Linked DNA regions of Bombyx mori. The protein of the gene in region 1 purifies or fractionates together with the protein of each later gene. This does not show direct contact. Links are inferred from orthologs where the notes say so. Each region holds a gene or a part of one and is shown in the gene's direction. Other genes may lie near its edges. The genes, in order: mago nashi and wibg.

What was found.
Region 2: the proteins of mago nashi (region 1) and wibg purify together in Drosophila melanogaster (affinity purification with western blotting; 4 studies listed by BioGRID, with this or other methods). This does not show direct contact. The link is inferred for Bombyx mori from reciprocal best matches to the Drosophila melanogaster genes mago and Pym.

The regions. Positions count from the first base shown.
Region 1 is NC_085121.1:13,251,747-13,255,804, forward strand, and holds mago nashi, read left to right. Parts: upstream 1-1,615; 5' UTR 1,616-1,749; coding exon 1,750-2,007; intron 2,008-3,177; coding exon 3,178-3,360; 3' UTR 3,361-3,405; downstream 3,406-4,058. UniProt on the Drosophila melanogaster protein: Core component of the splicing-dependent multiprotein exon junction complex (EJC) deposited at splice junctions on mRNAs. Involved in exon definition of genes containing long introns, including the rolled/MAPK gene.
Region 2 is NC_085114.1:15,048,575-15,052,978, forward strand, and holds wibg (partner of Y14 and mago), read left to right. Parts: upstream 1-1,541; 5' UTR 1,542-1,723; coding exon 1,724-1,760; intron 1,761-2,109; coding exon 2,110-2,379; intron 2,380-3,842; coding exon of another isoform or gene 3,843-3,848; coding exon 3,849-4,117; 3' UTR 4,118-4,237; downstream 4,238-4,404. Other genes in the region: protein lin-37 homolog, read right to left, coding at 365-473, 933-1,014. UniProt on the Drosophila melanogaster protein: Regulator of the exon junction complex (EJC), a multiprotein complex that associates immediately upstream of the exon-exon junction on mRNAs and serves as a positional landmark for the intron exon structure of genes and directs post-transcriptional processes in the cytoplasm such as mRNA export, nonsense-mediated mRNA decay (NMD) or translation.

The DNA.
Region 1 (4,058 bases):
ACTCTTCACTTAGTGAAGAGTGTGGAGAGCGCAGTCCTTCCGCTCCTCCTAGTGCTGATTTTGGTCCGCGTCATCCGATCTCTTTCGTTGCAAAGCCTATCTAAGCTATCCTAAGCCTAACCCTAAACCTAGGACCTTAACCTACATCTAAACCTAACCCTATACCTAGGACCTTAACCTACATCTAATCTAACCCTATACCTAGGACCTTAATCTACATCTAAACCTAACCCTAAACCTAGGACCTAAACCTAAGAATCCTTGCAACGAAAAAGATCGGACGATACCTCTGGGAATGTCGCCCAGAGGATCCCGTTATCCGCCACCTACGGACGCGCCACGGTGGAAGTCCAGCAAAACTCCCCCACAGACGGAGCCCCCGGCCACGCAGAGTGCGCACCGGGGGGCCCGCCCAGGTCCCGGGATTATAATGTATACCTACATTATCTCTTGAAAGATAAATAATGAACATATTTACTTATTTGTTTATATTACCTATATGAACTCTTAACCTATCTTTTTTATACCTTCATAGCGATAGGTATATAGGAGGATGGAAAAAATGTATTTGGTCTAACTTTACGCGAATGCACATTATTTTATTTATTTATTTTTTAATTTTTTTAATTAAACTGTATACCAATTAATCGATCCTTCAGGATTTATAATTGTTTTTTTTTTCACGATTAAAACCGCGTAGAAAGTTTAGGCATTATAGTTGACGCATGCGCCATAGATTATACACTTATGGCATGCGCAGTACACATATTTTGTATACATTTATTCAACTAATACAATTAATTAAACAAAAAATGAGTAATTTCGAAAGAGAACAAACGTATTTTATATAAGAACAATCGAAAATGAATATTTACGAGTAATTAAGGACGAAAAAATATTAAAAATTGCAATCGAGGGGCTAACTTTTAGATATATTTTTAATATTTTTTTTAAAATAATAAAATGGGGAACAAACAATTATTAACAATGAACAATCAAGAACAAATGATGAACAAACGAATTAATAGAAAATAAGTAGAAAACAGGAAAAAAAATTTTTTTTGAGGGGCTAACTTCATTCACCCTACAGCAGTGCTATCATACGAGTATCAAGGCTTTTGGTACTATTAAATATGCGAAAGGATTTTTGGCTGGAACGCGAGGAATTTTTATTTTATTTTAATATTATAGTCCGTTTAATTAATTAGTTACCTACGAATTGCTAATTATTCGTTCGAAGTTTTTTATTGAACTTCAATTAAGTATATCTCATTCGTACAGCTGAATAAGTTTTTGTGTTTTGATATTTTTTCCAAATTTTAAGCTTTCAACGGCTCTCGGGTAAAGTTGGAAAATTATCAAATTAACCAAACAGCCTTTCACTCCTCGATATCATCTCATCTTATTTTATTTCACGTTTGATTTCATTCAACTTCATTCCGTAATCTTCGTAATTTTTCCTCTTTATCTTTTTGCAAAATGCTAGGCTGTTTAGGCAATGTTCTCTTTGTCTTCCTAATCGGACAACTGGAAGTATGAACCTTCCATAAATCAAACAAACAAACACCACTCTACAATACTCTACATTGAATTAAACACGCGAGTGTAATCTGAAGTTTAATTCTGAAATTAATTTAACTGATAATTTGCGTTTGAGGGTTTTCTCATCATTGAGTAATTTTCTTTTAGTGTATCAGTAGAGCCGCTAAAGTGGAAGTTCTCGAGGATAAATTTAAAACTCTGTGCAAAATGTCTACGGATTTTTACATACGATATTATGTTGGACACAAGGGAAAGTTTGGCCACGAATTTCTCGAATTTGAATTCCGGCCTGACGGGAAACTGCGTTATGCCAATAATTCCAACTATAAAAACGATACAATGATACGTAAAGAAGCCTATGTTCACCCTTGTGTAATGGACGAGTTAAAAAGAATCATAATTGATTCCGAAATCATGCACGAAGACGATCGCCTGTGGCCACAACCTGATAGGGTTGGTAGGCAGGTATGTTAAAATTCCACAACTAACTAATATAATAAGGTTTTCCAAATTTCCTGAAAAAAATTATCATTGCAAAAAGTTAAATTTATTCTAACCTAAAACATTGATTTATAATTATATGTGTGTATTTTATTTAAAGACAAATTTAACACGGAAATGCAAAGTGAAACTAAGTTTTTTACTTTATTCTTTATGAAACAACCAAGTTGATGAACTATGAACTATGAACAATCCTATCCTAAATCTAATTTGAGGCAAACTCAACACTAAATGAAATATTAAATGCCTACATAGAAGTTATTCATCATCTTGGATTTTCACTTTAGTTTTCTGGTTCACATAGCGAAGATTTGCTAAAAGTATTTGGTATTTTCAAAGTACTAGCCCTGAACAAAGTTAAATCAACTAAAGAGTTTTTGGATTTGAAATGTTTTCATTAGGACTGATTTGTAATATGACCTGCCAAAAGGTTCATTTAAGGACATTCTAATACCATCTTTAGCTTTACTGCCCTGTACCATATAACATTATATTTTGTAACTACTGGCCCACTCTGTCAAATTAAATCTATAATTGCTTCATAGTAGAATTATTCAGAATGTTGGCGCTAACTTAGTTCATGGCCATACAGTATGCTACCACTAGTAATTATAATACTTAGTCTCTTGATTGATGGAAGTTGAAGGCAATCTGCTACAGCATGTGTCTTTGTAGATTACTGCTTGGCCACAGCACACTCATCTATGTCTTTTTAAGTCTTCTTCTTCTTAATCGTGATTTTGTTTTTAGTGATGCATTTGCTTTAAAATTTATGCATATGCTGTTATTATAATAAATAACATTGTATTTTACATCATACAACATCAATATCGCATGAACTCCCTTCAAACCCCCTAGGTGGCCCACACACTTGATTCCACATTCTTAACATTAAATTTGCTAATAGCTGAACTATAATGTAAGCTTGTTTAGACATGTAGATCTTTGAATTAGTGAAATAGTTGAAAAATCTCCCAAATTCCTTTCTGATTCTTCTCAAAATGTAAAAAATTTTTTTTTAATAAATTTAAATAACATTATTTATAATTTATTATTTGAACTTTAATTTATACAAATTATATTAAGACGAGAAACATTAATGCTGTACTAAACACTATTTTTATTAATTTTCAGGAATTAGAAATTGTTATTGGAGAAGAGCATATTTCTTTCACTACTTCTAAGACTGGATCTTTGGTTGACGTGAATCAATCCCGCGACCCTGAGGGTCTTCGTGGGTTTTATTATTTAGTTCAAGACCTTAAATGTCTAGTATTCTCTTTAATTGGGCTACATTTCAAGATTAAGCCTATATAAAAATTATAATCTCCTATTCTTGAGTAATAAAATATTTACATATAACAGTTTTATTTATTTTAATTAAGCCAAACACAAGTAAACAAGCCAAAGTAAAAAATTCATACAGATAATAAAATTATAGATATGCAAAAACCTAACTAATGCCCATAAAGAATAATAGATGGTAAATAAATGATGTTATATTTTTGGCTTGATTATTTTGGTTTTTAATGTTAATTTACCTCTTTTTACATAAATATGTAATATGGCAATGTTAATAATGTTTACTGTCTCTGCCAGAAAAATCTGCTAAGAACTCCACTAACTCCCACAACACAAATGTATGGATTTAGGTATAGGTGCAATGCAAGATTATTTTATGAATTAATCTACACATTACACATATAGTTTCGATTGTCTCCAATAATTAAGAAACTTTTTAAAAAATAATGAGAAATATGGTGTGAATTTTATTTTCGGTGTGGAGAAGATAAATTTACGTGTACAAGTGCCGAACAAAACATTTAGGCCATCAGTCTACTAATTGAAAAATCTAGCTATTTCAGCCTCTCGGTGAATTAAAATTTTATTTCCAACAATTATACGATATTCCTGCCTGAAATAATTCATTAAATACTTGTTGTATTTTGCTGTCGAAGCACATCCGGACACGGAACAAGTATGCATAATTTCAAAGAATTTAAAAACGATTCTTG
Region 2 (4,404 bases), on another chromosome or scaffold:
TATGTTAAAACCCTACATAGGCTATTGATGTTTACACAAATTTAGGTGTGAATACTGTAATGGTCTGTACTATATTGGTTAACTTTAGGAATCCTGTGTTACATTCATATACATTTATTCTGGTTATTAACCTGGCTAACTAAAATTGTCTTATAACAAAATCTAATTTTAGCTGGTCTACTTTTCTTCTGTTGTCATGATCTTAATCGTTGATGGTTGTGTCTAGTTTGATTTTTCATCAATCAACTATCATGACAAACTCCTCGAAGTCTCAATGGCCTCAGTCTTATTTATTAGCTTAAACTATATTAAATATAATGCAATTCTAGTTTAAAATGTATAATAGATATCTATGAATAAATACCTTCTTTTCCCTGGTGTAAGTTCAGTAGAGTCATCAGAATCCAATGCCGGTTCCAATATTTCCATTAACGCTCCCTGCAGCCTCCCTCGAGCAGTTGTCACCTCTTTTACTGTTTGTTTAAACAAAAAACATTAAAATATGTGATATACTATTTTCTTCAGTTTTTAAAAGATGTAATTGTAACTATTTTTTCGCTCTAATCACGCGTATCTTACTTTCACGACATTTTAAATACTTTGCATTTATCAGGATCTTCGACTACTAGCGTGTTAGTGATTTTATGATGACTGACATTATATATAATAAACTAGACGCGGGAATACAATAGATAATTATAGATACGAATCCGGTGTAAGCTTTGAATTTAAAACAGTTCAGCAAAAAAATTCGTTTTTAAATTAAGAATTTATATTCGATATTCAATATTCTGCATCTTTATTGAAGGAAACTCAAATCGAACATGGTCCTCCCCTAAGCTAAAAGTTTAACCACCAACCAACGAGACTACCATATCAGGAAAATTTTATATCCTACAATTGTGTATTAAAGTTCGTTATGTTGATCAAACCTTTATTAGAAATTTGAGGGAATTGCGTTATACTCTTTCCTTTGTTTTTGATTGGAGTGAAAATCCTTCTTCGTTTACGCATTTTTAAACCTGCTCCTTGAATCTATTTAAAATTAAAATAACTAAAATAATTAATCAAAACAAATGAGATGTGCACAGTATATTTAATTTGTTCTTTTTTAATTTGTATAAGGCCATTGGCTACTCTAACTTTGGGTCTACATTCGTGTTTTTTGTTGAATGCTGTTTTTTTTTTTGGAGAAATCTTGAAGTTACAAAAAGGATATAATATTATAGGATAAGTTAAAAAAGGTGACGATAGTGGATTTTAATATGTTTTTTTTTCATGTAAAAACTACTCATAAGTATTTAGACGAGAATTCTTGATATTTTCTCAAAAGTTAACTAAAATAGCAGTCAATTCTCATCTTACTAGCATACTATTTCCTTTAATTTTGTATCATATCATTTTATTTCAGATAAATTAATCTTATTTCTCATTTAACAAAGTATTTTAATGTATCTTTGAAATAATAAAATTAAACCATCAAACTCGACACGAGTAACGATGGCAGAGAAAGAAACCGAGTGCTATATATGTAAAAAGTAACAATCTATGGTCCCTCTGTTATGTGTCAAACAAAGCGGTTCAATATTTTATTTGTCAAAATAGTTTCTTGTGTGAATCTTGGTTTGACTGTGTAGAGTACCACGAAAATAGCTCATTATTTAAGAATACATTGCCGTGATTTATAAATGTTGAAATACAAATTGAAATCTTATGTATTATAATGTCAACACCAACGGCTTATGAGCACGACGCTGATGGTTAGTGTACAAAAAAATTCACGATTGAAGAATTTTCAAGCCTCACCGCTTTCTCTAGTAGTTTTCACATTAACCACGTTTCGTGTGATTGAAGATATTCGAATTAATTGATACAATACGATTTTTTTGTAAACATTAGAGTTTAACGTTTCACACAATAATTATAGGAAGAACTGTCCTTTAAATACTTGAATTTTTCATCCAAATATATTACCTATTATTGTTAATTAACAGTCTATTATATATTTCTAATCGAGCTTAACTTTTACTGATTTTCAAAGATAAAACTAATTACAAAAACTTTACAAAATTAATTTAAACTTAACTTTTAAAAATTTCAACATTCAAGGGAGTAAATTCATTCCTGCAACTCAAAGACCTGATGGAACCTGGCGCAAGCCGAGAAGAATAAAAGAAGGTTATGTACCTCAAGAAGAGGTACCGTTGTATGAAAGCAAAGGAAAACAGTTCAGGGCCAGGCAAAATGATGGACTTCCGGTTGGACTTACACCTGAGATTGTAGCTCAAGCACAAAAGAAGAAAGGTCAACGAAGCACTATCCAACCTATACCTGGAATGATTATAACTGTTGAAAAGAAGAAAAAGAAAAAGAAGACAGGTATAAAAAAAAACATTTTTTGTTGTTCCTGAAGCAAAATGGTACTTGGTGTAATATGTTATTACATCATCAAATGGTCATTGAGCTCATCTGCTTATCTATAGGGCTCATATATAATAAATGAAGCTTTGAGTCCTTACTGAATTAATATTTCATGAAAAAATTTAAGGTACTTTTCTGTGTGAGGTGACTTCTTTCTGGTCGTTCCCTCTATGCTGAGGATCATGACTGTATGTCAATCTCCTCCACTCGGTCCGGTTCTGCGCCATAAGTACCGCTTCCTGTATCTGGCCTCTAGTCACCTCCTTAAATTGGTCCACCCATCTAGCTGGTGCTCTTCCTCTAGCACGCTAGGTACTCTTAAATTACATAAAAGAAAATATTCCAGCACTTGCTAGATTCCTGCAGTAATATCACCCTGGCTATAGAAACTATCTAGAGCTTTGCTATATAATATTTTTAGAATAAAAAAACTTAAGGATGAAATGAGTAATAAATATGCTTTTTTTCTTATTTCGTTGGAAAAAATCATGCCCCACCTGGTGTTAAACGGTTACTGGAGCCCATAAACATCTACAACCTAAATACCACCAACCTTTTACAGTACAATGGCTGCCCCGCCCCACCTTTCAAAGCAAAATCTATTACTGCTTCACGACAAAAATAAACAGGGTGGTGTTATCTACCTGTGTACTCATGAGACGTCCTACCACCACTAATTATACAGATTATAATTTTATGGGTTTTATTTTTAATACACGATTTTACTCCATCACAGTGGAAGTCAATCATGAACATTTGTTATGTACTTATTTTACTAGAAAAAATGGTACCTGACTGCAGATTCCTACCCCATTGCATCGCTTGATACGAATGCACCGGGCTTCTTATCACTTAGGCCACAACAGCTTCATCAAGTGACAAAGAATATAGAAGGACACTTGACAGGGAGTTCAAACGCAGTTAAGGGAAATTAATCTAGTCAAAACAGCAACACATTGTCATGTTTATGAATAGCTTTCACAAATAAAGAATAAGACAGGGTAATCTTACAGAATAACTTTTGAGGAATAATTAGTATTAGGGATTTTAAGTTGCAGTCTCAAAAAGCTCAATAGCAATATTAGGAAGCATACTATCCTATTCATATTATAGAAGATTATTATTTTGCTGGCATACACGGCTGGTGAACATGAACGTTTAAGGCAATTTTTAGTAAATATGTAAACCTTAGCTTCCAAAAACATATTTAAAAAATGACAAGAGCTATCAAGCCGATAGTTCACAAAAATTTTGATACATTATTTTTAAAGATTCTTAATACTTTACCCATTTTAAATTTTTGAACTTAGTTACTTTATATTTTAAATGTAATCTTCAATCACACCACTAAAAATAACCAATATTATTGCAGTGAACATTTGGTTAGAGAATTTTGATTTTTATGAACTCTAAATTTTTAGTTACAGGTGTTGAAGAAGCTGCAGAAAAACTTGCCAAATGTGAAATACAAGAACCAACCGTACCTAGTCAGTCAGTACCGACTGAAAGTATATCTCAGTCTGATCCGACAAAACGCCTCAAGAATCTCAGAAAAAAGCTTAGAGAAATAGAGTTTCTAGAGGAAAAAATAAAAGCAGGGCTTCTTAAGAGCCCTGATAAAGATCAAAAAGAGAAAATGTCAAAAAAGAATGAAATTTTAAATGAAATTGACATTTTAGAGAATAGTATTCTATGATTTATTGCAATTCAAGATTTTATGAGACATTTGATTATCATGTTCTTGTTATGTGTGTGTCGTGGTGGATGTGCGAGTGAAATGTTTCTTTTTAATTATACAATATATTTACAACATTAATGTGTTTGAGTTATTTATTCGAATTGTCTCATAATTTTGTGCTCTGGATTACTAAGTCGTGTGGAGGTCTGAATGTGGGAAACGTAGAAGTTCCTATTTCCTGCACTATACTTTTTTGAAAATCATTTTGGAGACACGTGATATGTAAGATTAAAAAACAAAATAAT